Linked DNA regions of Mytilus edulis. The main gene of each other region encodes a partner of the protein of the gene in region 2 in a complex. Links are inferred from orthologs where the notes say so. Each region holds a gene or a part of one and is shown on either strand. Other genes may lie near its edges.

The links.
Region 1: dynein regulatory complex subunit 7-like (region 2) and dynein regulatory complex subunit 4-like share a complex: the UniProt entries of both Homo sapiens proteins name them as parts of the nexin-dynein regulatory complex. The link is inferred for Mytilus edulis from reciprocal best matches to the Homo sapiens genes DRC7 and DRC4.
Region 3: dynein regulatory complex subunit 7-like (region 2) and dynein regulatory complex subunit 3-like share a complex: the UniProt entries of both Homo sapiens proteins name them as parts of the nexin-dynein regulatory complex. The link is inferred for Mytilus edulis from reciprocal best matches to the Homo sapiens genes DRC7 and DRC3.
Region 4: dynein regulatory complex subunit 7-like (region 2) and dynein regulatory complex protein 9-like share a complex: the UniProt entries of both Homo sapiens proteins name them as parts of the nexin-dynein regulatory complex. The link is inferred for Mytilus edulis from reciprocal best matches to the Homo sapiens genes DRC7 and DRC9.

The regions. Positions count from the first base shown.
Region 1 is NC_092348.1:7,363,315-7,371,160, reverse strand, and holds the start of dynein regulatory complex subunit 4-like, read right to left. Parts: upstream 3,014-7,846; 5' UTR 2,891-3,013; coding exon 2,888-2,890; intron 1,258-2,887; coding exon 1,147-1,257; intron 778-1,146; coding exon 580-777; intron 118-579; coding exon 1-117. UniProt on the Homo sapiens protein: Component of the nexin-dynein regulatory complex (N-DRC), a key regulator of ciliary/flagellar motility which maintains the alignment and integrity of the distal axoneme and regulates microtubule sliding in motile axonemes.
Region 2 is NC_092346.1:2,214,767-2,222,601, reverse strand, and holds the start of dynein regulatory complex subunit 7-like, read left to right. Parts: upstream 1-4,818; 5' UTR 4,819-4,858; coding exon 4,859-5,040; intron 5,041-6,170; coding exon 6,171-6,342; intron 6,343-6,837; coding exon 6,838-6,963; intron 6,964-7,594; coding exon 7,595-7,789; intron 7,790-7,835. UniProt on the Homo sapiens protein: Component of the nexin-dynein regulatory complex (N-DRC) a key regulator of ciliary/flagellar motility which maintains the alignment and integrity of the distal axoneme and regulates microtubule sliding in motile axonemes.
Region 3 is NC_092352.1:28,254,928-28,262,132, forward strand, and holds the start of dynein regulatory complex subunit 3-like, read right to left. Parts: upstream 3,001-7,205; 5' UTR 2,893-3,000; exon of another isoform or gene 2,887-2,892; intron 1-2,886. Other genes in the region: TOM1-like protein 2, read left to right, coding at 3,193-3,250, 5,144-5,228, 6,124-6,208, 7,046-7,192. UniProt on the Homo sapiens protein: Component of the nexin-dynein regulatory complex (N-DRC) a key regulator of ciliary/flagellar motility which maintains the alignment and integrity of the distal axoneme and regulates microtubule sliding in motile axonemes.
Region 4 is NC_092346.1:87,338,856-87,346,784, reverse strand, and holds the start of dynein regulatory complex protein 9-like, read left to right. Parts: upstream 1-4,927; 5' UTR 4,928-4,981; intron 4,982-6,978; 5' UTR 6,979-7,053; coding exon 7,054-7,069; intron 7,070-7,929. UniProt on the Homo sapiens protein: Component of the nexin-dynein regulatory complex (N-DRC), a key regulator of ciliary/flagellar motility which maintains the alignment and integrity of the distal axoneme and regulates microtubule sliding in motile axonemes.

The DNA.
Region 1 (7,846 bases), on a different chromosome or scaffold from region 2:
CTCACTTTTAGATTGATCATTTTGTGCCAATTTCAGGGCAGATACATTTTGTGACTTTATTGTTGTTATATTCTTCTGATGTTCATACAGTAAATGCTTCACTTTTTGTTTGTAAACCTGAAAATATAAAATGGTAAATCATTAAATATTTTTATTTAGATATGATTTTCACTGATAAAATCATACTCATCAAATCTCATTCTGTCATAATTAAATATAATACAAATCTACATGTTCATATAACAGATTCTACTTTATTTTCATGTTTGAATACAAAATATTTGAAGAAGATAATTATTGATAGTTTAAATTTAGAAATTCCTGTTTGCATTTATTTTACAAACGAAGAGACATTCTTTTATAAAGATATTCAGAAAATATTGTAAACACATTATGTCAGTAATAGTTATAATGAAAGCAATCTTGTCAAAATTTTTACAAAATATCTGACTTTGAATGTTTCATTTCAATTTATTTCTACAACATGACAAAGTAGCTTTTGGAAATTATGAAAGAAGCATACATGGAAATGTAAAGATAGTTAAAAGAATATGATTGAAAAACAATTCTTAAATTTACTTTTATTTCGGTCTGATGTCTTTCTTCTGAGTCCTCCATTTCTCTGTCTTTATTTCTAAGTTCTGCTTTCTTCTCTTCTAACTGTCTTTTTGTGATTTCCCAGAATGTGTTGACCTTGTCTCTTTCCAATTGGAAGTAGTTTCTCTCTTCTCTTTCACGTTCCAATTCCTCACGTAATCTTTGTATGTGTTCTTCCAACTGTAATTAAAACATTTAACTTTTTGTAATGATACTAGTCAAACATTTTGATCTTTTTAATGAAACAAAAAATTTTGCAATATTAACATGATGTAAACAATTTGCATTTTATAAACTTGTGCAACATAATTTGCAATCAAAAAAATCTTCAAGAATTTAGAGATAAACAAAATATAAATTATTCCAACTACAAGGTAAAAATATTGCAAGTATATTTGTTTGTGTTTTCGTTGTCTTTTATCATCTTTTGGATAGGTCCATATTGCTCAGTCTTTGTTTTTTTGCTGTGATATTTCATTTGTGTTTGTGAGTTTGAATATCCCTGGTATCTTCTGACACTTTATTTTAAGCAGAAGTCTACATGTATACCTGTTCTTTAGACATTTCTTCTGTTGAGATTCCATCTATAACTGTTGGTGATTTGGCCTTTCCAGATTTCTTCCCTTTCTTTCCCTTCTTTCCACTCTTCTTTTTAGGAGGCTGCAAAAATGAAAATTCATTTAAAAAAAGATATATCAGGTACATAAAGACTAAGTGTCAATTTTGATGATTTGTTGCTCTATATTTCTTGACCTGAAAGACCAAGAGATGCTAATAGATGGGTCAGGATGATTAATTGATTTTAAATAGCCAGTAATGTTAACAATTTCTTCTGTAGCTCAGTCTATATCTTAACTTAGATATGTACGATGGCTTGTATTGAAGTGGAGACATTTTTCACATACATAGTTAAATTTTCTGGGTTCAAAGTGAGTTGCATTCTTCTATAAATTAGCACACCTTGAAAATCTTTTTGTGATGTGGATCCTCTGGGTAAAAAATCTTTTAAATAAGTTCTTTGAAAATTTTATACATTACTTACATTGAATCTGGGTCCGTCCGCCCTGATTCACGTTCGCCCTAGTACCTGTTCGCCCAGATACCTGTTTGCCCAGGGTCCGTTTGCCCTACGTACATGTACCTTTTTTTTTAATTGTTGTCCAGTTGCATAATGTTAATTATTTGAACAGAATATGTTAAAGTTTGTTGAAAATTTACCGAATATTTGTATTGCAGCAACCAATATATATTATTTTCCCTTTGATTTGCATAGTATACTGGAATACAATGTATTAATTTAGTAATTAGTTAGTATAGAAAGTTCCTGGTTTATCATAACAAAATGTTTGTTTTTATTATTAATCCATCAAAAGACAAGTATCACAACAATCAGTGAGAATTATTATGTCATTGAACAATTATCAATCCTAAAAAAGCCATAAACTTTTAAATGATTCCTTACGTTTCCCTAAATTTCAAAAATATGTACCACATAATTATCTAAATAAGTTTAACCAACTTCGAATTCAATGACCTGAATATCATTTTAGTAGGACGAACAGACTCTACGGGCAAACGGACCTAGGGCGAACATGTTATTAAGGCAAATGGACCCGATACCATACATGTATACATTCAATAACTCCACAGTTTTTACACACTTATCATATGGTCCTCTACTTTCCAAATCAACACAAATGGTAAAGCTGGAAGAAGGTGTTTCCTATGCAAATTTCAATAGTAAGCATGATCAGTAGTAATAAGTCCGTGGGTTTACTCTATTTTTGAAAGTTTTAGGCCTCGGAAATTAAAGTGTCAGACACCAAAACCAATGTTTCAATCAGTTAATTATTTTCTTACACTAAACAGATAGTAGTTCCATCTGAAGAAAAAGCGGTCAATCAGTTTGAAAGAGAAATAAGTCAACAGGTTGTCTTTTTATTTACATACTATAGTATAGGTAGACAGGTTGAACAGTCACTGAGTCAGCAGATAAAGATAAATCTATTTGCAATGAATCCTCTTTACAGATTATTTGATAAATGATCAGGTCAATAACATACTACCATATAAACTATACACAATAATGTAATAAAAGTTTAAAAAAGAGGAAAATAACCAATTTATCAAAATATTGGTTTAGAATATCATGTGTATTTCAAATACAAAAACTGCATAACATGTTTAAATTTCATGTTGTTTTGTCGTTTTTGTGTAGTAGAATTAAAAAAAAACGGGTAAGACAGGAAGAGGGATTGAATATCTCACTAAGAGTCATCCATAAACCTACCATTGTTCAGTATGTTCCTGGATTCTTTGTTTTCAAAATGTTAAATGTATGTTCCCCCTTTCTGATGTACTTGTTGTCCAGGTGACGGTCCCCGGATGTAAATAAACACATAATCTCGTACAAGACAACGAGATAATTAGCTGTGTACGTTTTATTTGATTTTTGGACCAATCGAAATGTCAAAGACAGTGAAAAATAGTTTTATCATCATAAATTTATTCGAGAGAAAAATATATTAAAAATTACGTAAATTTTAGAATACTGGTTTTCTAAAGTAAATAGGTAACTGTTAAAAAGAAAACGCTAAAACACGTATCTAATTTCTGGCGACGGCACCCGTTTATCGTTAGACGCAAAATAACGTATATCTTTTCAGGTTATGTGTCTCTGTTATTGTTAATTTTTCAATATATTTGTGTGTTTATAACTTAAAAGCGTCTGTACCAATTCAGGTCCGTATCAACCCTGAGACTACTATACTCAGATCAACCCAAACATGCTCGAGAGACTTTGAAAAATTTCAAAAATTATACGGCATACATAGACCTTGATTTCTTGGGGATCTTGAACTTGTTGAGAAGTTGAACTTAGTAATTATGACGGAAGAAGAAACTTGCTGTGATATACAGTCAGTGGACAAAAGTGAGTTTCCACTAAAAAAATTTGTCCTATTATTTCAACTAAAATCATTATTTTTCAAATAAATATTACCCGGACACCCCTTTCGTGAAAAATTTGGTTGATTATATAGCGAATCACCTTAGTTCAGTCAGCCCCCCCCCCCTTATAAAAGTTTTGGTAATTCCACTGTTACTGATTTATAGCAAATAAACTAAACAAATAAATACAAAATCCTTGGTGTGTAATCTAGATTTATTTTTATTTTCCGTATTTAAGCCGTCCGTGATTGCTAAAGAGTAATACTATGGCGTGTGGTACTTATGTATATACGTTGATTTGCTCAAACCTTCACTCATTTACATAACACCCTTTTTAGCTCACCTGGCCTAAAAGGCCAAGTGAGCTTTTCTCATCACTTGGCGTCCGGCGTCCGTCGTCGTCCGTCGTCCGTCGTCGTCATCGTCGTTAACTTTTACAAAAATCTTCTTCTCTGAAACTACTGGGCCAAATTAAACCAAACTTGGCCACAATCATCATTGGGGTAACTAGTTTAAAAAATGTGTCCGGTGACCGGCCAACCATCCAAGATTGCCACCATGGCTAAAAATAGAACATAGGGGTAAAATACAGTTTTTGGCTTATAACTCAAAAACCAAAGCATTTAGAGCAAATCTGACATGGGGTAGAATTGTTAAACAGGTGAAGATCTATCTGCCCTGAAATTTTCAGATGAATCGGATAACCCGTTGTTGGGTTGCTGCCCCTGAATTAGTAATTTTAAGGAAATTTTGCTGTTTTTTGGTTATTATCTTGAATATTTTTATAGATGGAGATAAACAGTAAACAGCAATAATGTTCAGCAAAGTAAGATTTACAAATAAGTCAACATGACTGAAATGGTCAGTTGACCCCTTTCGGAGTTATTGCCCTTTATAGTCAATTTTTAACCATTTTTCGTAAATCTTAGTAATATTTTACAAAAATCTTCTCCTCTAAAACTACAGGGCCAAATTAATCCAAACTTGGCCACAATCATCTTTTGGGTTAGTTTGGAAAATATGTCCGGTGACCCGGCCATCAAACCAAGATGGCCGTCATGGCTAAAAATAGAACATGGGGTAAAATGCAGTTTTTGGCTTATAACTCAAAACCCAAAGCATTTAGAGCAAATCTGACATGGGGGTAAAATTGTTTATCAGGTCAACATTTATCTGCTCGGAAATTTTTAGATGAATCGGACATCCCGTTATTGGGTTGCTGACCCTGAATTGTTAGTTTTAAGGAAATTTTGCTGTTTTTGGTCATTATCTTGAATATTATTATTGATAGAGATAAACTGTAAACAACAATAATGTTCAGCAAAGTAAGATTTACAAATAAGTCAACATGACCGAAATGGTCAATTGACCCCTTAGGAGTTATTGTTCTTCATAGTCAATTTTTAACAATTTTCATAAAATTTGTAAATTTTTACTAACATTTTCCACTGAAACTAATGGGCCAAGTTCATTATAGATAGAGATGATTTTAAGCAGCAAGAATGTTCAGTAAAGTAAGATGTACAAACACATCACCATCACCAAAACACAATTTTGTCATGCATCTATCTATCTGCTTCCTTTAATATTCACAGAGACCAAGGTGAGCGACACAGGCTCTTTAGAGCCTCTAGTTAAATAATCTTTTCATTATAAATTCTGATGTAAGAACGGCACCTTTAACTAGCCAATTGAATTTAAATTGAAAACTAATTTAAACTATTAATTTAAAATTTTTACTTGTTATTATATTCAGATCTTACACAACTTTTAATGATTATTTTATTTTATGGTTTAAAATTGTAATGACTATCTTATGAATTAATAAAAGTTTTGCCTTTTCTCATTTATCTGTTCATAAGTTTATATGCCCTCTTGTGTTTTAATGTGTAAAAAGTTGCTACAGTTTATACCATATGAGTAGTGCTCCATAATTAATATAGAGGAACATACAAGAAACTGAACAGTTAGTTTAAACAGTATTTATTAATAAAAAATGTCAAGATAAATATTACAATGTTACATAAAGTTCAAATATGGGATTCGGAAACAAGTTTGGAAAAACTTTTATAAATCCGTCTCCCTAAAAAAAAACACCATCTATTTAACAAACAATATTACGTGCCAACAGTATATTCAGTTTATGGTAGCATATAATAAAATGAATAAATACCAACACACACACGCAAAAAAATACAACAAATAAAATAAGTGAAAAAAAAAAAATGTGGAAAAAAAGGGAAAAAAAACACGAAAACAGTCAACTCTTATTTACTTTTCCAGACAGTCACTGGAACCAACACACACGTCCGACTATAGACTCACTATACTGTCAATTACGCCGGGCAATCCACTCGATTTTACATCATATTAAAAAAAAGTCTATATATATAATATATATATATATACATATACTAGATTAACTTTCAAAACGTTTTGTTTTATTTGTGTATTCAGAAACTTTATGAAACATTTGCACATTGTCCTCGTCAGCTTTTAGACTGTCCCCATATAAGATAATCTTAAGATTAGAACAGGAGATCGTCCCGATAGTATCCCTTCGAATTTCATTATATTTTGGACATTTGAAGAAATAATGAGAGGTAGTTTCTACTCGACCACAGGTACACAGTGCGTTCTCAATTAGATTTTTTTTAATAGATGGTCCCTTAGAACACTACTCTGGAGTCTTAGTCTTGCTTAACATGTCTGTTCTCTTCTACAGCCTAAGTGAAAGTTCAATGGTATTTTATTATTATTTTGAGAGAGATAAGTCTTAAAACCCGATTTTGATTGATTTAGACGAATGTCGTGTGGAATATTATTCCAAAGGTTTACTACGGCTGGTAGAAATGACTTTTGATAATAGCTTGTTCTGCATAATACAGTTTGTAAATTTGAAGACCCCTAGTCCTGTGGTCGTGTAGATCTAGTCTCTGATTTGGAACTAACACAGAAAGATAATCTCCGTGAAACATTTGATGAAATTTTAATAACTTATGTTTATCACGTCGAGACTGGAGTTTCCCAACCGGTTTCATCGTACACAGCAACCGTCTCGATGATATCTTAGTACCACCTGTATCGATTCTTGCTGCTTCTAGTTGTAAGTTTTCCAGAGATGTTTTTAATTAATTTAGTATGTTATCCCAGACAATGTCCCCATATTCTAAGACTGGGCGTATGAAAGATCAATAAATAGTTTCTAAATTTTTCCTTTTAAATTTAAACTTTAACTTTCGGAATAATGCTAATCTAGGAATAGCCTTATTAATAATCATTTTTACATGGTTATTCCAGCTTCCATCTTCATTTATAATAACCTCTAAATGCTTGTGCAACTCAACTTCTTTTATTATATTATTATTCATATACACTGGCGGGTGGTGGGGTTAATGGTGCCTTTTTGAAATGGTCATTATTTCTGTTTTGTTTGGGTTGAAATAGACAAGCCATTGTTTAGACCAAGTATGTATTTTCTCAATATCTTTATTTAGCATTTCTGCCGCTTCATATTCGATATCAACCACTATATAAATTGAGGTGTCATCAGCAAAAAGTTTTATATCAGATTCGATGTCATTAATTATGTCATTAACATAAATGAGAAATAAAATAGGACCCAAGATAGACCCTTGGGGTACCCCAGCTGAGACATGTTCGTTGTTGGACGTTTCTCCACCAATGACAACCTGTTGCCTTCTTGAGTTTAAATAGCTTTCAAACCAAAGTAACAAGTTACCATTAATTCCTATTTTTCTAAGCTTATAAAGTAAGCCTTTATGCCAAACTCGGTCGAAAGCTCGACTAGAGAAGATTACCCTGACCTCTTTCCCTTCATCTAATGCTTTACCAAAATCGTTAATAATTCATAGCAGTTGGTTTACTGTCGAATCACCAGGGATGAAACCTGACTGGTATTTTGTTAATAACGAATTTGTAATAATAAGGTATTTAAAAATGCATCTCTCCATTGTCTTACCAATGTTAGACAGCAAAGATATAGCATGATAGGTCTATAATTAAGTAAAAATTCTGGGCCACCTTTGTTCTTATATACAGGTATAACATTTGCTAGTTTCCACACATCTGGAAACCACCCTGTTGGTAGGGATCGATTAAAAAGTTTTGTAAATGGATACTTCAAGACAGTTGCTGCCGCCTTCAGGAGTCTTGGACTGATTAAATCAGGCCCTGTAGCTTTTGAAATATCAAGATTCAAAAGCACATCTTCAACATCCTGCTCACTTATAACCAGTTCCTCTAGTTTATTAATTTCATCATTTTTTAATATTGGTAA
Region 2 (7,835 bases):
TTCACCTTTGTTTCACTTTCAATGTTGACATTCTTTTCTTTCAGTAACCTAACACACTTCAATCATGTGTAATCCATCTCTATCTAAGGGGTTAAATTGAAGTTCGCATTAATACAAATTCAATGAAGTCGATTTATTTACTTGCAAGTGAATAACTAATCATCGAAGTTTTCATCACTTATTTTGACAAAATAGAACTACTGGCTGCTTAAATTGAATTATTATTTCACTGTTTCATTTTCATTAATGATTGAACAAAAAATTCAGAAATCAACTTTTGTCGAGCCTGCGATATTTGTTGCAGAAAGCTTGACATTGGGATAGTGAACCGGCGGCGGCAGCAACTTTAGCTAACTTCTTAAAAGGTTTATATTTTAGAAGGTGGAAGACCTGGATGCTTCATACTTTGTATATAGATGCCTCATGATACAAAGTTTCCATCAGTCACATGTCCAATGTCCTTGACCTCATTTTCATGGTTCAGTGACTACTTGAAAAAGTTAAAGATTTTTTGTAATGTTCAATTCTCTTATTATAAGTACTGTAAATTCAGAAATTATTGCGTGCATTTATTATTGCGATTTTGTCATTTTAGACTTAAATGTGGTTTTTATTTTTATGATTTTGACATTTTGAGAAAAATCCTGTTTAATTCATATAAAACATTTCAAAATGCGAGTTTAAATTATTGCGTTTACAACTCTGTTGCATTTTTCGCAATAATAAAAACCTCGCATTAATTTCTGAATTTTCAGTATTAGGATAACTGTATTTGGCATGTGCCTACCTTGCAAGGTCCTCATGCCCGTCAGTCATTTTTCTCTTGACCTCGACCTCGTTTCATGGATCAGTGAACAAGGTTAAGTTTTGGTGATCAAGTCCATATCTCAGATACTATAAGCAATATATAGGTCTAGTATATTCTGTGTATGGAAGCACTGTAAGGTGTACATTTCCAACTGGCAGGTGTCATCTGACCTTGACCTCATTTTCATGGTTCAGTGGTTATAGTTAAGTTTTGTGTTTTGGTCTGTTTTTCTTATACTGTATGCAAAAGGTCTACTTTATTTGGGGAATGGAATGATTGTAAGATGTACATGTCTAGCTGGCAGATAAGATCTGACCCTGACCTCATTTTCATGGTTTAGTAGTCAAAGTTAAGTTTTTGAATTTTGGTCTTTTTTTCTAATACTATATGCAATAGGTCAACTATATTTGGTGTATGGAAATATTTTATGATCTATATATCAGTCGTGCAGGTTTATTTTACCTTGACCTCATTTTCTTGGTTCATTGCTCAGTGTTAAGTTTTTGTGTTGGGTCTGTTTTTCTTAAACTATAAGCAATAGGTCAACTATATTTGTTGTATGGAAGAATTGTTAGCTGTACATGCCTGCCTGGCATGGTTCATTTGCCCTTTACCTCATTTTCGTGGTTCATTGGTCAATGTTTAGTTTTCTTGGTTAATGTTAAGTTTATATGACAGTTGTAATAAAGCTTTATATTAAGACTATCAATATAATATCAATGATTAGTAAAGAAGGCAAGACATTTCAGCGTGTGCACCCTTGTTTAGGTATCTTGTAGCTAAGTGACCCTTAAATGTTTTTTTTTTATCACTCACAATCTTTATCACACTTTGTAATATGACCTTCATTATAAGGAGCAACCATTTGAATTTATGGGGGGGGGGGGGGGGGGGGGCTATGGTTTTTTTTGGAAAAAAAAATTTGTTTCCATTTTTAGGAGAAAAAAATAATTTGTTTTTGATTCTGAGAAAAAAAATTTGTTTGTTTCACCCTCAGCTGCCACTATATGTAATGCTAAAATTGAAAGAAAAAAATTGTTTTCGACTTGGCGAAAAAAATAATTTGTCCAGAAAAAAAAACCATAGCCCCCCTCAGAAAATCAAATGGTTGCTGCCTAAATGCTCATCAATTTAAGTTTAACAGTGAAGTGCATTGGTTTTATTAGTCATGGAGGTCAAATGCTATAGATTTTAAAATATTTTATATTTCTTAGCATCATGATAAGATTTCCTTCCTGACAGGAATTTTCTGTGCTATTGTACATTTCACACAACAAATCCCGTCATCTTCTCCCCCTTAAGTAATCCTAGTCTTGGATAGGGAAAACAACCAAGACCCAAGGAATACAGATAGATATAAATTTTATGCAGAAAACATAAAAAAAAGACATGACAAATACAAATACAAAGATTTTTTATTATAGGATTAAACCGGGGCGATTAACTCACAAACTGAATAAAAGTCCTTATGTAAAGTTTGTGGCTAAGAGCCCCGTTTACACATCAATGACCTCTAGAAAAAATGTGTTTAATTCTTATAATTCTAAAGCCAAATATTCTCGATTTTTATTAACATTTTTTTTGGTGTAAAGCTACTATAATCACCATCACATGCACAACTGACAGGTCGTAACTAAGGAGTTGGCCGCCATCTTGACTTTCTATAATTCATTAATGTTCGATAAATGCAATGGAATCTAAAACAAAATAGCACCTTCCTCCGAAATTTCATTTTTAAAATGAGATATTATTCGAATTTGAAGCTAGACGTATTAAACGAAATGATCTTTCCCCTGAAAGTTTTCATTCGTATGACGTTGTGTTTTGCCATGACGACAATTCGCCAAATCCTTCATGAAATTTCGCAGAATTTTATTTAAATTAATTTTTATACATTTTCGTAGCTTTAGTGCATTCATTTAATTTCTTTTTTGTTATTATGCATTAGAATAGAAACAACTGTTATGCATTTGTTTTTTTAAATCTCAATTTGCTGAAATTCCCAGTATCCCTGCAAGAATGTGTATCACGCATGAATAGATTACGAAAGTAGATTTGGAAACATGGTTTATCGAAGTGTAAACCTAGAGAAAAATTCTAATTGACCAATTAAATTCAAGTATTTATAGATATGCAAATCATATAAGAATTATTGTCAAACATGATGCCCAATAATTTTAGCAGTCCAATTAAGTTCAATTTCATACAAGTGATTACATATTGATTACATTGATTATTTAACAATTAAACAAAATCAAGTCTTTCTCAGCAGAATAATTTCTACAGGAATAATATGTATAGTTTTACAATATAATATAGATGGACAAACTACTGGTGACGTAATTGTTTCTAGTATTTAATTTCTCTCTTTGAATAAAGTACACAATAAACTTACTTTTTAAATTATAACATTATCCTTAGATGACATTAACCATATTAATTTTGATTTAGTTGGGAGGCTTTTAAAGTTTTTGTTTACCTTATTTAAGTAATTTATATATTCAGATCTTTTATTTTCTAAAACAGGACACTGAAGAAGAAAATGAATTTCATCTTCAACTTCGGTGTTGCATAATTTACATATTCTATCCTCCACTCGAGGCCCCAAATATCTGCCTCTTTCAATTTCTAATTTATGTGCACTGACTCTGAACTTAGTGAGCAGTCACCTTTCATCGTCATTCAAAATTAATAAATATTTTTCCATACAAATATTTTCTTTACATAATCTGTAAGTTCTTAGTTTATTTCCATGCTGTTTATTTTGTCTATCATTGTAAAGTTCAGATTTCCAAATACAAGAATATTTCAGTTTTAATTTCCGGTAAATTAGGGATTTTAAATCCATCTTTGAATTTTTAACAAGTTTAAGATCTATATATCAAGATATTTCATAAGAATAACAATACAACTATACCAACTATTTTTGTTTAAACTATTTAGTGATGTAGAGACACTCAGAGCTTCAGAGAGAAGGATATCATCAGTCTTTAATACATATTTATAATATCTAAACATATTTAAAATTACTTCAAGAAATAAGGGACAAAACTATAATAGAAGAAGGGCGAAAGATACAAGAGGGACATTCAAACTCATAGATTAAAAAATAAACTGACAACGCCATGACTACAAGGCAATAGACAAACAGACAGACAATAGTACACAAAATACAAAAATAAAGACTAATCAACACTTACCCCACCAAAAACGGGGTATTAATCTCAAGTGCTCCTGAAAGGCACCCATTGTATTGTTTATGTTATTACAAACCCTGTAAAAAGTATAATTTTGGTAGTTATAATAATTGGGTTTTTTTTATCATTTCTTTCGTTTTTATATTAGATCTCCAGAGGTAATTACAAAAACAAACTGATTATAAAATAGTACTATTCTAACAAAAATGCTGAACTCCAGAGTAATGAAAAAAGATGAAGCTCACAAAACAGGACAAAAACGAACACCAACTAAGAATTTAACAAAATTAAACAATTCTGCACTATTCACATCATATTCATAAAAATTCAAAATAGATAACTTCAAAATTTAAGAGTAGTCTAGTGGTTTTAATTTTAAATATTTAGATTTTTTTTATATATAAAATTATAAACAATTATAATCCTGGTACTTTTGATAACTATTCCCAAACATAAAAAAAGACACCTACGTCCCTGGACTAAGTACTAGTCTTATTTAAATTTTCTGATTTGTAATATTTGAGATCAGAACTATGTCAAGCTTTTTTTGAAAGCTAACTTTGTAACTAAAACAAGGGAAATAACTGTAAAAGATTACCGGAAGTAAATTAATAGATTAATGCGCGACTATCTTTAATTAGCAATTAATTGTTTTATGATTTCCAGAAGTATTTTATGCAATTTAAATACCATGATTTGTTATGCTTTAAATTTTGACTAGCATTACGTACATATCTATTTTCTGAGCGATCATGATTTTTATATTGTCGATGCACTATATTTCAAAGAGAGTTTGTTGCTATGAGCGCGTATTGTGTTTAAATAATGAGTTGTTCGTCTCGTTTGTAAAATCATGGCTTCGGAGGACGAATTCGCTTTACCGAGTGAAGATACAAAGACCCCCGATCCAGATAAAGATGAAGATGAACTAGGAGAAGAAGCTGAAGGCAAAACAGCCGAAGAATTAACCGACGATGCTGAGGCGTTGAAAAAGGAGCTTGACAAAATAGTGGTGCATCCTCCAACGATTCAAGAGTAAGGCAATGTTTTGATGCATTATATCCATTGCCAAGAATAAGTTAAAGAGCGAATTGTAAATAAACAAATTAATAAAAAAAACTATGCCCTCAATATGGTCATCACCACAACTTAATTAGCTGACTGTCAGCATGGTTTTATATCTGTATCTGTATGGGTACGTCGTAGCTACCAATAGGGCTCTTCACGGTTAGTTCGGCCATATTGGATAGGGGGCAGATTTTTTGGAAGGAGGTGGAAATGGTATGAAAGTGTGGGAAATCCTATGTGTGTTTCCAAGCAACAGCTCTGTTTTAATGATGTTTTCCCGTATTTTTCACACCATTTTTACCTCTATTATGAAAATCTGCTCCCTATCCAATATGGCCGAACTAACCGTGAAGAGCCCTATTCTGGCTTTTATACAACGGGAGTGAAGGCGCCGTCGATTTATTGATGTTTCACCAGAGCAGATTTAAAGCTCTCTACACTTGTTGCGCGAACAATAGTGTCTTCTAGATGGTTCCAATTTACTATTGTGGACACAAAAAATGAATTTGAATGTTGCGGTGTTTTACTAGTAGGAATGTCAAAACACCTGGTATTGTTCCTCACATGTTTTTCAACTATGTTTGTGGCTTGAAAATTTTTAGCTGTGATGGTTCGTCTTGGTCTTGCTGATTTGAGGAAGTCGTCTGGATCAATAGCGGGGCTCATGCGTCTCAATTTTAGTTCCTGTAGCTCTATTTTTGTAAGCATGTTTGTTATGCAGCCTAGTTCTGTAGTCGCCTGTTATAAAGCGTGCTGCTTGCCTTTGTATTCGTTCTAGCTTGTTTGAAACTTGTATCTGTTCTGTTTTGATATCACAGGCACTTACTACTGCTAGTTGCTACATAAACTATCATATGATTCAAAGATACCAGGCTTATAATTTTGTATATCAAATATTTATCAGTAAAACCAGAATCAGAAAAGTGCCAAATAAAGAAAGAGTTTATAAAACTAATCCCACAGTGGATATCAAAAGACCAATATACATACAAATAAATTATATATACATGTATCCTTACATTGAGTGCATGCTTTATCTAGTTATTAGACCAGTCTTCACATCTAATGAATTTGATTTAATGCTGATTTTTTTCCAGACTAACAGCCCAGGAATTTGATCCAGCAGAATTCCCTGCTTCCTATAAAGACAATTTACCAAAAGAAAACTTGGTGCTACAATATGCAGAAAATTTTAGACTACAATATGTACACTTATACAGAGACAGGAAACCTCTTCTTCTCAACCCAATCAATGAATGTGGGACAGAGGTAATTAATTATGAATGAGGCTCTTACAAAATACATGTTTTTCTGCTATAAACCCGACCAACTCTAATCCTCAGATTATTTTGTTATTATTGCAAAAGCTCTTTTAAAATCAGATTGTTTTCCCTGTTTAAACCAGTTAAAAAATGCTTGAAAAATAAATTCATTCTCCTACATAACCTATTTTTCAGCATGATAACTGAATAAAACAGAAACCCAGGTATTACATGTACATGTAATATTATTTTGGTCAATAGATTAAATCACTTTTGTATAAGAATTTTCTAAAACCTGAATTATTAATTATATGACCACTGAGTTTGATATTTTTTTCTTGTATGTATGATGAGTTCACCATTGATCACTGCAAAAGAGAGTTTAGAAGGGTTTATTTAACAGGCTGTATTGCTTTCTTCATGTTAAAATTTCTATTTTATTTGTAAATTACATTTAATAAATGCATGTATGTATATATATATATTTTATTTGTGATTTTAGAAATTTGTATGTACAACCATCAGACCAACACAGATTGAATTTAAAGAATTTTACGGTTGGGAGGGAAGTTCAGAATTTGTTGCAGATTATCTGAATTTTGAGACATTAGAGCCTCCATATGAATTGGTAATTGTCATAATTTACAACAACAATTTTACATCAGTCAAATGGTAGTTTAAATTAACATCTTAATAATAAAAAAATTTATGTTTTATTTGGTTACAAGTCTCAATGATTTATTAAATTAAGTAGTAAATGCAGAGGTTTCATAATGCAAAATGTGAAAAATACAAAATATGAAATTTATTAGTTTGACTCATGTCATTTATTGACAAATTTATGTTATTAAATATCCAAATAGTAAAAATGTGCATTATAATCATTTTGATGTGAACCAATCCAATGAAAAATGTGTTGAGTTTCTGATTTAACAGTATTATTTTTTGTACTTTTATTACATCAAGTCAAGATTTAACCATAGATTATTTTTTTGTTAGTAACTATATTCTTTAAGCTTCAAAATATAATAAACTTGTGTAAAGATATAACATCCCATAAAAGAGAAACTTACCAGTACTCTTGATCAATATAAATCATAAAGAATACATTTTCTGTCCTAACAAAATTAAGACTTATATGGTTCTAGAGTCAGGATAGAGATGCCATAACATTTTATATTTGATTACTTGTTTCATTTGAAAAAATAAATGGTAGTGATAACATTGAATTGTATTGATATCTTTGTCTTTTTTTCCAGCCAAAGAGGTTGATATCGCCACCATCTGTTTTAAAACGTCAGAAAGGGAATTGTTTTGAGTACAGTACATTGCTGTGTTCCCTGTTAGCTGGAGCCGGTTACGATTCTTACGTTGTCAGCGGGTATGCTACACATGAGACATGTCTCGCAGACGAATCGAGGGAGATCTGTCCACTGATGAAAAAGAAAGAAGAGGTTTGAATATATATAAAATAAATATATAAAATGAATATATATATAA
Region 3 (7,205 bases), on a different chromosome or scaffold from region 2:
CTTATTTTCAATCAATGTTCATTTTTGTACATGTATTATTAGAGTCTTAAAGTTATGAAAATTTAAAACAAATGACATAGGTCCAAGTTCTTGTTTTGTCATCAAAATGGTAATACTGTATTAAAAAAAAACCTAATTCACATATTAAGATTTATGACAAACTACATGTACATTGATTATTAATCAGAAGGAACTCACTCATGCTGTTAAAAACTGACGAAGGTCATGAGATTATGCTAAATTCTATTGAATCGGAGTCTGACAAATTTTAAATAACAAAATATTAAAGTCTAGACAGAAATTTACATCCATTGACAATCCCAGAATATTTTTAAAAAGTGATCTGTCACATTTATGTATGAGGATGAGGATATCAATGTCGTATTTCTTCTACAATAATAATATGAGAAGATAATGGTAGGCAGGTAGATGAAACGGTATCAGGTTTATTCGACCCAAATATACTTTTGCACACTACATATTTGCACCTCGCACATTTGCACCCAATTTTAAATCAAATTCCAGTTGAATTATTAGAAAATCATGATTGTTGTTTTGACTTGCTTCAAGCCTATGATGTAAACACTGCATGTTGTGGGTATTTAGCTTGTCATGAGAAAAGCATTAAAGATTTTAAATGAAAACACACAAAAAAACAATTGTTTTTAACAGCTTGGTTCCTTTGATCTGAAACAACGAACAAAAAAAATTAAGGCAATACATGTACAGTAACCAAAACATGATTAAGATTTATTCAACACACAAAAAAACGTTGTTCGAATCTCACTTGATTTAGAAACAATGTTTTTTTTTATTTACATGTCAAAACTGCCAAAATCTGCTCTGAAATTTTAATTAAGCAAAAATGTATTTTATATTCATGATAGTTGACTTAAGTTGTATTTGTAGTATAATTTAAGAATATTTTTTTTATATCTCTCATAACTCTTTATAGAGTGGCTCTTGTTGTTAATTTGTGTTTTAAAAAACTGTATATTTTATATGTAACAAGTGGTGAGACTTTAATAAAGTATTTATCTTGTCTTCACTCGTGTCTTGTCTTGTAGCAATACACAATCTCAAACATAATTCAGATTTCATCTTTCATTTTTTAATAGATAATAATAATACACTTGCCAAATCTAGATTACAAAATTATTTAACAAACCCAATAAAGAGGGGGAGAACATATTTTTAGGATTCAGATGACACTTACATGAATGAGAAAAATAAAAAAATGAACAAATTGATGACCAATGTATATGGACAATGCAGTCAGTATACTCTATTGTAGAAGCAATGAAGCAGAGCATACATTTAGGAAGTCAAATATCAACTTTTAGATATATCAGACGATCTTGTCTGCCCAAAAATTGCTGTTGGACATCAGAGTAATCTCTGACATGAAAAGATGTATAGATGATAAAAAAAGATTTCTTCTCTCTATAAATTTTAAAACACAAACTACAAATTGTGGTTGTAAGAGATAGACATTTATAAAAATCATTATGATTTAACCCTCTTGCTGCCGGACATGTGTCGACACAAACTGTGTCAGAGGGAGTGGGACACATACATTGTACATGTATGTCCATGCTTTAATTTATGTAAGCTTCTCATCAGTGCTGTACCTTAAACAAAATAAACAAGGGCCCCGAACAATTGGGGCAAGTATGGACACAACATTCATGCAAGCTTGATACGGTATCAGGTCCGTTCGCGCCCAATATACTTTCGCACCTCGCACGTTTGCACCCAAGGTCCGTTTGCACTCTACACGTTTGCGCCCAATTTTTATTCAAATTCCGGTTGAATAATTGGAAAATCATCATTGTTGTTTTTAATTGCTTTCGGGTAAATACTGAATGTATTTATAGCTTGGTATGAGTAAAAGATTGAAGATTATAAATGAAAAACACAAAAGATAATTGTTTTTAACAGCTTGGTCCCTTTGATCTGAAACAATGAAACAATAAAATATAGCAATACACTATTATAACCAAAACATGATAAAATTTATTCAAGACTCAAAAATAAAAAAACATAGTCAGAATCTGACTTCATTTTGAAACAAGTCAATGAAACAAAGTTATGGTAATACACTAACCAAAACATGATAAAGAGTTATTCAACACAAAATAAAATGTTGACAGAATCCCACTTTATTTAGAAAGGAATATTTTTTTTTTTAACAATACACTATCCAAAACATGATTAAGATTTATTCAACACAAAAAAAAATGCTGTATCACTTTATTTTGAGACAATGAAAACAATAATACTTATAAGAATACTACTTGATTACAAAGTTGATATTGGGCGCGAACATGTAGGGTGAGAACATACTTTGGGTGCGAACATGTAGGGTGCGAAAGTGAAAGGGGGCGAACATGAGTGGGTGCGAACGTGAATGGGCGCGAAAGGACCTGGATTCGCTTGATACAGCTCTGAATTTGGATTGTGATCAAATTCTTGACATAATATGAGTTTCTGACACAAAACAAATGTCAAGATCTTACAAATCTATTATGCAATATTTTGCAATTACAGATTTCTTCAAACTTTTCAAAAATTTGGAATTTGAGAAATTTGGAAAAAAATTATAATAGCCTTTCAAGACGTCCATGACGTCATAATTATTTAGACTAGTACTAGGGCAAACGTGAATGACGTCATTGTTTGGCATGTCACACCACAATCATCAAGCGGTCATATTTTCTAACATATGAAATGCAACCCTGAAAAACAGAGGGATATTGTCTTTTTTTTTATTGACTATTTTGGTTTTGTTGAGTGCTTGTTTATTTGTTTTAAATATTAGTAAATGCGAGTGGCAGTTGTTAATTATTAAAACTATATCATTCATTGTAATTTATTGAAGATGACATTAACCTTTTGAGTAGAAACGACTGTAACCTCAATGATTTCTCACATTTGTCGATTTGAAGCTTCAAAAATTGTGGGAAATGGCGTCCTGTTTCTATGTCGACTGTTATTTCCGGTTCTAAAAGTACTTCCGTTCCACGAAAATATGTATTTTAAAATGATGTTTGAATATGAGAGGAAACCAAACATTTTGTAACGTGAAGAAAGAAATTATTATTTTAAATATTGGTCGAAATTTTATGCCAGTCACAAGACTATTCTATAAATAGATCACGCAAATGACGTCACGCAATATTTACAAAAAAAATGGCTGCCCTCTTTGGACATGGGAATCCTCTGGCTACACCTGTAGGCCAGATGATTGGTAAGAGCTTATAGTGAGAAGTAACAGCCCATATTTAAGATGAGACATTACATACACTCCCTTACATAACAACAAAACACAATGTCAATCCAATTTAGGAGAGAAAGGTAGAAAATAGAATGAAAGTCTGAATAAAAAAAAGAGACCATAAATATTTTTTGAGACATAGTTGATACCTTGACCATCATTTTGCTCTAAACTTCTATTCTATATTTTTCTTTTAAAAAATGAACATACTTGAAAATACTGTCATTGCTGCACTTTCATTCCTGACTTAATTTCCAAACCTAACTTCCTTCCATCATCCATGTTTGGATAAAGTTAGGGGTGACTGTTTGAATTTTTTTATTCATGTTTACGGTATCACTATTTGAAAATCACCAATGTATGATCTATTATTTCGAAACACTAACTTTTGCTGTCATGAAAAATCACTTGCATTGTGACATCAGAATTTTTCTCTTATGACACAGACATTTGAAGGAATCAAGTGTGTCTGCAAATCCAGTCTAAACAAAAATTTTATCCCTCTATAGAAGGATTATCCCTCTATACAGGTATAATCACCATATAGAGGGTTTGTTCCCAACCTGTTCAATGAAATCGCAAATGTCAACAAGAACTAAGTAAGACTGTAAGCAAGGTAAGATCATCGTATCTTGCAACAAATTTTAAAACAATTCGCCGTTTCAGAATCTAATGCATTCTGGGTAATATTTTCAAAAGCGTACACCAAAGCGTTTTGATTGGTTTAAAACGTTATAAACAATGGAAATTCAACCAATGACGTAACGTTATTTTAACTTTGGGGTACGAACAATGAAATTACCCATGATGCTTTAGATTCTGAAACGGTCAATTTCATGAAAATAATTTAGTTATAAGTAGTTGTAACTTTATCTTGAACATGAATATAGAGAAATTAAATGCATATTATGAATTAAACACTTGTTTGTGCAATTTTAATTTTGAACTTTATCCACATAATAACATTGATTGTTAGAGTATGCAAAAATAAACTAGCAGTTTCCTGAATTCTGGTGTTTCCCTTGATAAACCAGGGCCTGGATGGTCTTAGAAGTTTATCTACAGCAATCACTAGCCTGTCAACACTGAGTTTGTATGTACATTGTAAAAACCCTGCATGTGGCAGGTGTGCTGAAGGTTGTTCTGACTCCACTCTCCAGCTTTCTCCACCATTAAAACTTGGATGCGTAGCTGTAGCTGATAATGCTTCAAGATGTGTTAAACACCAATAATCAATCAAACGGTGAAACAAACATAGAACAATTATTCAATCACCAAATTTACTATTCAATTGAAAACTGAAATGCATTTATTCCTGAGCAAACTTTAAGGAGTAAGGGGTGGATTTTTTAAAACCTTAATGGGAGAGTACAGAGTAGCACACAGTTTTCTATATAAATGTTTAATTGACATGTTGTACTTGTAAACAAATACAAATGAAAATAGTTTTAGTCTAAGTCAAGTTCCTGTTGGGAGAGTTATTTCCAGATTTGACTCCCTACAGTGTACTGAATCAATTGTGAAATATTTTACAAGTTCCCACTCCTAGAACTTGCTCATTTTCCATGACAGCGTCCGTCGTTGCACCCTGTGTTGACCAAATTTTTGTGGCTACAATAATTACTAACAACAATAAACTTCTTTTGAGTTGAAATGTGTGGTTTGTTAAATTATAATGAATATAAACCAAGAAAATTGTCAGCAGGTGCACTATGAACATCTTTGATTTTAACATTTAAAGGGTATTGCACAACAATTATCAGATTATGGTGCAATCATATTGTATTTTAAACATGATAAAAGAAAAAATTAAAAGAATGAGGTAAAGAAAAAACATGTTTTCTATTGTGATTTTCTTATTTTCAGAAAAAAGCACTGATGGTTCACAAGCATCAGAAAACTGGGGACTGTTTATGGAAATCTGTGATGTAATTAATGACACTGATGAAGGGTATGATACTTATATTAGCTATATAAATTAAAGTCATTTAAAAGTATGTTTATGGCCTCTTTATTTATGTGTTTTGATGTCATATCAAGTCTGGAAATAGAACAGACTGTTTTGATAAGGATGGTCAGCCAGTAGAATGAGTGGATGTCTAATATATCAGGTGCATGATATTTTTTGATAGAAGTTGTCAGATGTATTAACATTTGCTATAATAAAATATTTTACTATACTACATATAGTGACAATGATATGTTCTGGTTGGAAAATTTACAAATTGTAATGTATAAATTTTTTTGATTTTTTTTGGATTTTTCAAGTCTTTTTAACTGTACCATTCCTTCACAATAGTGCTCTCACAGAAGTAATTCTGCAGTAAATATGAAAAAAGAAGATGTGGTATGATTGCCAATGAGACATCTCTTCACAAGAGACCAAATGACACAGAAATTAACAACTTCAGATTACCCCACAACCTTCATTCATGAGCAAAGCCAATACCATTAGGTCAGCTATTAAAGGCCCTAAAATGACAAATGTAAAACAAGAAAACAAGAAAACTAATGGCCTAATTTATTTACAAAGTAATGAACGAAAAAACAATATATGTAACACAGCATGCGCTACAAACAACAACCAATAAATTACTGGCTCTTGACTTCGGACAGGCACATACAGAATGCACGATTTAACAGGTAATGCTTAATATGATTTGAATAATGTGATTGGTAAAGATTTCCATTTTAATGCAACAGTCTGTAGGTCTTATCTCTTGCCACTGAAGAACAACAGTTCCTACTAGTGGTCATCCTAAATTTTATCTCGTGCAACTTTGAGGCTTATTTATGAAGAATTTAGATTTATATAAATTATAAATGTTCTTCTGTATATTTTACAGACCAAAAGATGCTATTAAAGCAATTAAGAAAAGATTGTCACAAAATATGGGAAAGAATCACACTGCAGTTATGTACACTTTAACAGTAAGTTTCTAGACTCCCCTTTCTTTAAGTATTGTACAATGTATGTTAAAAGGTCAAACATGTGACATGAAAAACTTGGCTTATTTAATCTTTATTTTACTTAGATGACATTCAAAGATAATAACAATATATTATATTAATTTGTATTGACATAAAATGTACATGCCTGTTGATGCATTACGAAAACAACATGAAATTTCCTATAATTAAAAAAAACTTATTCCTAAAAATATTCAAACTTCATCATGAAAATATATTAAAAGAAAAAACAAAGGATATGGTGTATCCATCAGTGACACACAATCAGTAAATGTATAGCAAAAAACACTAAAAGCAAAGGGAAAGTGTGTAATTGCTGTTTATGATCTCAGAGTTTGAAAATGAATATTTTTAAAAATAAAACTTGATCATCAAGAAAAAAAATTCTTTCTGATGAAGCCCAATTAAATTAATATTGTGACCAGTCAGACCCAACAAAGAATTTTTAAAACAGTAGTGACTTTGGTATATCATTGAAATGGTTATTTTATAAATCAAATGTTTACAAAACTTTAAATCGATTGTTGAGGAATAGATTATTTTAGCTAAATTTTTTAAAAACATTAAGGAATTTTGAGTCTTTAATACGCTGCTTCAAAATTATCTCTGATCAGTGTCAACCACCAATTGCGACAATATTTCAAGCCCCAATCATGAAAAATTAATTGATGATATTACTAGACCTAAATATTTATATTTTCAGGGTTTTGGCAAATTTTATTTTATTTTTACTTGTTATACAAAATCAGTTATTTGTTTTATTTGTACCTAATGTATATTATTTCTTTGTATATTTAGTGTTTGGAGACATGTGTGAAGAATTGTGGAAAAAAATTCCACCAGCAAGTAGCCACAAAAGATTTTATGGGTGACTTAGTCAAAATAATTGGTCCTAAATACGACCCACCAACAGTTCTTCAAGAAAAAGTCTTAAGTTCTATACAGGTAAAGATAATCT
Region 4 (7,929 bases), about 85 Mb from region 2:
CTGAATTTAGGCAGTACTTATCAGTAGCATAAGAGGGTAAAAGTACCGGGTACTGCCTCTTAATGAATGGCCTGAAAATTAACATTTGAACGAAATAAATCAAGCTGTTTTCTAGATGGATAACAGATTGGCAAATATAGACATTACTTGGAAAGAAAATAATCAAAAATTGGAATAATATCCCAAATGTATTCAAGCTTGTCTAACCGATGAGCACTCTAATCAAGGAAAGCGTCTTAGTTCAGTAATGGGTGTTGGAAGGTATGGTACATACTGTTTGGGAAATGCACAACTTAAGCAGAGACTAAATTGGTTTTGAGCCGACTTAATATAGGTTTGTTACTTAAAAGGCAAGTGCATGTCGACATGAATGTGGGCAGTATGCAGGTACATGTATAAGAAGTTAATATGGTGATTGATATAGTAAAACCATGGAAGTATTATATTGACAGGAACTACAACGATTTATTAGCACTTATTTATAACCCAGGGAGCTCTGTAGAAAAGATATGGAAACTGACTAATTAGTATGTTATCGTTAATAGCCCTTTGTGACCATGTGCGATGCCGCCGTCCTAAACTGACCAGACATACTTCTTATCATCACGTGGTTTTTATTGCGAAAGGTTATCTCTAATACCTGTCGGAAAACCCCTTTGTGTATTTCAATCTCGTCTGTGGTCTTTCAGAATTATTCAATTTTTCAAAACAAATCGACTGATGTACAAACCAAGAAAATCGGACGAGAACTTTGAATACTACAACGTTTTGAAATGGTGAGTGACAATATTTCATTAGTTTGTGGGTTAAGTTTAAATCGTAATTAAGGTGTGTTCCGGTTACCGCCGGTTAAAAATAAATATATTTGATAAAAATAAATACTGTGAAGTTTCGAGTAATCTATATAGTTAAGGTACTGGATAATCCTGGAAAGTATAAATTTCCAGTTTAAAATACGAAAATTAATCGAACAAGTACCAACATCAACAAAATACAGCAGAAGAAAACAGAGATCTCACTTCGTTGTGTAGCTATCTATATAATGTTGGTTAATATCTTTTTAATTGTGAATATAAAAACTTCATGTCTACCCGCAATTGAAAGACCTTTCCGATCATATAAAGCCATGGTCAGTATTTTATCATTTGAACATGTATGACTATGCCAATATATATACTAGCCAAGATTTAAAAAAAGTCTTATGACCCGAGTATTGTTTTCTCACAAGGACAAATCTTAAAGTTATCAACTTCTACTGTAAATCTAATACTTTATATATGCACTTAAAAAAAACAAGGTTTAATGTCTATACCAAAAACGTAAACTGAAACTGAATTCAGTGATGTATATTTGGCAGTCAGGATATTTCATATATAGTTATATACGTAAAGCCTTATTTAACATGGTCCATCGATGCCAATTTGCAATCCAACACATTGTATGTGCTAAAATTTTATTTTGCACTCTTTGCTTTTACATTCGATAAGATGTGACGAATCATCCGATTTACACGAACAATATATCTCACTTTCAAAATGTGAGGACAAAAATCATCGGGTATATTATCTGTCTCAAATTCATCCATTGTCAAAGTGTTTGTTTGGAATTAATGATTGTATGTCTCGTTCTATTCATCTACACACGTGTGTATAAACTGTTTCCTTAGGATTTATGACAACATCCGCTTTCTTCTTGTATTTCCGTACCCCGGAAACGACCGACACATGACTTTATCGCAATGTGCCACACACTGGTGTATTAATATAGTGCCATGTTTCAAGTTAATTAACATGTCATTAAATGGTACGCGGCATCGCAGATGAACCGTTTGAAGTCGGGTCGTAGTAGTTCCTGTAGGTATGGCAAACCAATGGGAGATAACTCCAAATTACCCTAAATAATTGTACCCAGATGTGTGTAAAAATAAAATCTTTGGGTGACCTCCAATTACGGTCTTTTATTAACTTGTTAAGTCTCAGAAGGTTCTGATTGCTTTTGATAGATATTATATGAATATTCATGATTCTGTATATTATAATTTTCGGGAATATGATGAAATATTTGAGGTACAAACAAGGGTTTGAAAGTTACATTTGTTTCAAAAAAATACAAGGGAACTTTATACAGCCATAAAATGTACTTTTTTATTAAGTTTAATATATTAATTAAATAATAAGGTCCAAAAAATAAATCTAGATAGCTGTGTTCATATCAAAATTATTTTTTATAAATTACCCTCCTTTTTGTGTATACAGAGTTATTTCCCTTGCATGGACAATTTTTGGTTAAGTTTTGATTGGAATTCAGCGGTGATAGTTTTTTTTTTTGCATTATACAGCCAGTTTATTGCCATTTAACGATAGTTTAACCACTTGCCATTGCACACGAGGTAGTAAGGATACTGAATAATGTGGTTTAACAACAATCAATATACATGACTGTATGTATTTTCAACATGTTCAACTAAAAACATACATAGGAATCCATGCAGTAGCGGCAGTTCAATTCGAATGCTATTCACATTTAATGCATTTCGAACTTCAGTCCTGAATAAAATTGGTTTACAGATTTCACTGTATAAGTATTGTAACTGATATACAGATATGAACATGATGAATTTACTTTACTTTTATACATACAGGTATTTACAGTACATAATCTGACATAATTATTTTCTTTGAAATTTCTCAAAATAAAAATAATGTTTTTATTTTAGTCATGTAGAATAATTGTTAGAAGGTTGTTGTTTATTTTTATTTATAAGCATTCACTATACATGCCATATAAGATTAAGATATATTAATTAAATAGAATGTTAATGAAAAGGGAACATTCTAAAACTATCACATGTATCATGACTATACAAAACTTTTCTTGTCTCTCATGGTACAACTGATTTTTATAGTTCATTCTTATGTTGTACTGTCACAGGTCAGGGGGAGGATTGGGCGTCCGCTAACATGTCTTCTGACATCAGACTCGGACTTCTCTTGAATTGAATTTTAAATGTACGTATTGTTATGCGTTTACTTTTCTACATTGGCTAGAGGTATAGGGGGAGGGTTGAGATCTCATAAACATGTTTAACCCCGCCACATTTTTGCGTCTGTCCCAAGTAAGGAACCTCTGGTCTTTGTTAGTCTTGTATTATTTTAATTTTAGTTTCTTGTGTACAATTTGGATATTAGTATGGCGTTCATTATCACTGAACTGGTGTATATTTGTTTAGGGGCCAGCTGAAGGACGCCTCCGGGTGTGGGATTTTCTCGTTGCATTGAAGACCTGTTGGTGACCTTCTGCTGTTGTTTTTTCAGTGGCCGGGTTGTTGTCTCTTTGATACATTCCCCATTTCCATTCTCAATTTTATTAACACCGCCACATTCTGTATGTATGTGCCTGTTCAAAGTCAGGAGCCTGTAATTCAGTAGTTGTTGTTTGTTTATGTGTTAAATATTTGTTTTTCATTTATTTTTTTTACATAAGTTAGGCTGTTAGTTTTCTCATTTGAATTGTTTTACATTTGTCATTTCGGGGCCATTTATAGCTGATATGCGGTATGGGCTTTGCTCATTGTTGAAGGCTGTACGGTGACCTATAGTTGTTAATTTCTGTGTCATTTGGTCTCTTGTGGAGAGTCATGTCTCAGATGGCAATCATACCACATCTTTTTTTATAGTCACACACACTAACATACATTTGTATATAAAGAGTAATATTCATATTTATATTTTGTTTCTTTACATTCAAATGTTTATAAAGTTTTACTTTACATTTTCAATATACCTGATGCTCTGAAAAAAGGAATATGTAAAGGTATCGTCATGTTATGTGACTTTGGACGATACAATTTCATGAGAGTGGTCGACATTTTCATGCTTTATGCTTCTATTTTGACCAAAAACCTGAATATGGAGGATTGAAATTGACTAACAAGATGTAAAAGAAGCAATATAAACAAAACTATAACCCAAATGATTAAAAAAATATATTTTATTATTTTTTAAAGAGAGGAAACAGTTTTTCCAGAATAGTAAAAAATTTTCGTTTTGAAAAGTTGCAATTTCTTCGTTGTTATTATGTGTATAGATAAAAGTGAAACTGTTTTGAAAATGTCTTCACAATGCCTTTTAAATGAGGTAAAGTTTTCTAAGATCGGTTGATTTAAAAAAAATCACTTTCCGTACCTAGTTCCTGTCAATATAATACTTCCATGGTAAAACTAAATATTATTATACAAGTGAAGAGTGGCAAAAGATACCAGAGGGATATTCAAACTTATTGAGAACAAACTGAAAAACTCATGGCTAAAAAAGAAATAAACAAATAATACTTAACAAGAAACAACATTAAGAACATAGAAAACGACTTAGAAACAACACCACAAAAAACAGGGTGCTCTGAACATTGATTTCAATACTATTCTTAAGCGATTGTCCATACCAAATTATACTAATCAAGTGTAACAGGTGCGATATATATATATACACGTTGTTGGTACTATCATCAACATTTTTAGCACATATTTATCTTTTTTTTAAATGAATCTTGGAATATGCGACAATGCAAACTGTCGCAAAAAGAGGAATAATAGTTTGTTCTCTACGAAGATCTTCCTTTTTACATTATGGGGAATATCAGTCAAGTTGTCATTGATTTAAAGAAAAATATCGTGAAGATCTATAGTAAATAATCCTTGTTAAGACCTTAAATCTGCGTATATCAGTCGTTTGAAGCCCCATCCGTTTATTCTAGTATGAACAATGACTTATGTATAAAATAAAATTTAAGTTTGCTTTAATAAATATAAATTATTATTTAAGGAAAGCATTATTTTGTCATCATAAACATATATTTTCATCATGCAGACCTGCTGAAAATTGAAAAAGGAAACGGAAGTTGATTTTTTTCTTAACTTCCGGTTTCGGCGCATGCCACCTAGCAACATGTAAACATAATGTTATGCCAGTTTCAGTAAAAAAAAAGGTATTTTATGGCATTATTAATGAGATAAGGGAAGCAAAAATTCACAAATTGCATGGCAAATATCTCAAGATATATATGAATCACTAAAATGTCATTATTACAAGTAGTTTTACACGATATCGTGCTGTGCAGAGTGGTTAAGGCAATATGATCATATGGCAATGATAAAGTATTTTAAGCATGTTATTATTGTTAAAGTTCCAGATGCCAGAGACAAATTATTTCATCAAATATACTTCATAACAGGACAAATTCCAACAGATCTAGACAATTTATTAACAATCAATTTGCCAAATGCAGAAAATATCAATCAACTATTAGCGGAGTACATAGAGGAAACAAACCGTTTTAGTGGATAATTTGATACAAATTTCTTTAAATTTTTTATATTTTTAATTTTTCATGCCATTTCAATAACCTAATAAACCATTTTTTAGATTTATTTCACTTCATACAATAATTCTATAATATTTTTAAAGCGCCACCTACAATATATAAGTACAAAGGAGAAACTACATTTGTGATAATTATTTTACAAGAGAGGATAATTTACAAGAGAGATTACTCTGTCATCACGACAAAGATTGAAGATAAAGTTCCTGTGTTGTCTGTGAAATTAATATTGACCACACTTTTATTCATACATGTATAGAACAACAGCAGATTTGAAAAATTATAATAACTTATTTTCTTTTGTTTGTAATTTTCTGTATTCTGTTGCACAGACACTTGTCTCAGAAAAAAAAATGCTATATACCCTTATATAACACAAGGTATTTAACTCGCATTTTTTAAACATGTCAGAATGTCACGAAATTCCGTCATATACCTATTTCACAGTTGTTAACCCCACTAAAACTTGTAATTTCGTAAATCTAAATTGATTTATCTACACAATGGTGTACATTATATCACACCTACTTTTGTTGTCAGAATCATCCGTAGCAATCCTACCAAAGTATGTCAATCGTTATTATTTTGTCTACCGACTACAAGTGCCTGTGTTCTGTTGTCAATGTCGCTGTTGACACTGGATTGTTTCCCTTGTAAACGTTAAAGTCTCGCGTGTACAATTTCACTCCAGATGGTAAACAACTCACATGTACTTTAGATATATAACTTATACATGTAGGTGGCAACTGAACTTAATATATTTTGACAAAAAATTTAATTGTAATTTTTGATTTGTAACCGGAGGGCATGAATTAAACAATTTTATTACAAAATTGCTTAGTTTCATACCTGGGATATGAGCCCTCTGAGTCAGGAATATGACAGTTCTTGTCCATTCGTTTTTGATGTGTTTTGTCATTTGATTTTGCCATGTGATTATGGACTTTCCGATTAGATTTTCCTCTGAGTTCAGTATTTTTGTGATTTTACTTTTTATAAGGCAGCACACTAACTTAATGAGCTTGAACTTCCTTAGCTCAATCGCTTACAGCTGACTAAGTATCTAACCACATTTACCAAGGGAAGCAATTCACCCGTCAAAGATTTATTCTGATGCTAGAGTTTTGCTGATTTTGAGTGCTAATAGTTTTTGCTATTTTAGTGCTTGCATTAGCCTTAACTTAACTCTATATGATTTTATGCTAAACTAATTCTTTTATTTGACAATTGTGTATGTTTAAAACTATTGTGTGTTTTGTGTTGTCCTATTGTGTCTGAATGCACTGTATATGTACTTTAATTGATTATCACTTTATGTATGTCTGTAATAAGCTTGCTCTGAGCTTATGTTGTATTGTTGACTGCTAAACAATTCATTTCAAGTTGAATTCGTTCTAAACCTATTTGTCTAAGATTTAATCAATTCATTCCAACTGATTTTGTTCATTATTACCCACAGGGACTTAATAATTTGTTCCTACTTTTTTAAATCAGTGTACAGTGTGAGTTGAAGTAAATATCAATTCAAAGTTTATGTTATATATATTTCATATAAAACTTATTTGAATAATTCAATTGATTTGATTGTAATATTTATTTTTAGGAATTGTTGAGAAAGAGACACTTAGTTTTGCTGTCCACATACTTGTAGAGTGAAGAAAAAAGACAAAGCCAAAGATGTCATTAACACAAAGTAATAACTTTTAAATTGTGTATCACTATTCATTTACGTATCTCATTCTGAAGCCCCATGCTATATTTGTTGTAAACTATATATAGGTATACAGGTAAACCTCAAGACTAACTTGTCATGAATCTTGGTCCATTCTCCCAATGTCACATTTGCCTCCATTCGTTTTTGAATCCCACAACTTTGCACCCTGCGTTCATTTTCACCATTATTAAAGGTTTCCTTTTCAGTTATTTTTAAATTGTATTTTAGTAACCATAGTAACTGTAAGTAAATCTTACGTAATATTACGTAAATGTATAAGCATACCATGACATGTTGCTACTTAAAAACAAATTTTCAAATCAATTTTTGTCGAGCCTGCAACTTTTGTTGCAGAAAGCTCGACATAGTGATAGTGATGTGGCGGCGGCGTTACTTAACTTCTTAAAAGCTTTATATTTTAAAAGGTAGAAGACCTGGATGCTTCATACTTTGTATATAGATGCCTCATGTTACGAACTTTCCGTCATTCACATGTCCAATGTCCTTGACCTCATTTTCATGGTTCAGTGACTACTTGAAAAAAAAGTTAAGATTTTTTGTAATGTTAAATTCTCTCTTATTATAAGTAATTGGATAACTATATTTGGTATGTGCGTACCTTGCAAGGTCCTCATGCCCATCAGACAGTTTTCACTTGTCCTCGAACTCATTTCATGGATCAGTGAACAAGTATAAAAAAGAAGATGTGGTATGATTGCCAATGAGACAACTATTCACAAAAGACCAAAATGACACAGACATTAACAACTATAGGTCACCTTATAGGTTTTTCTTATACTATATGCAATAGGTCTACTATATTTGGTGTATGGAATGAT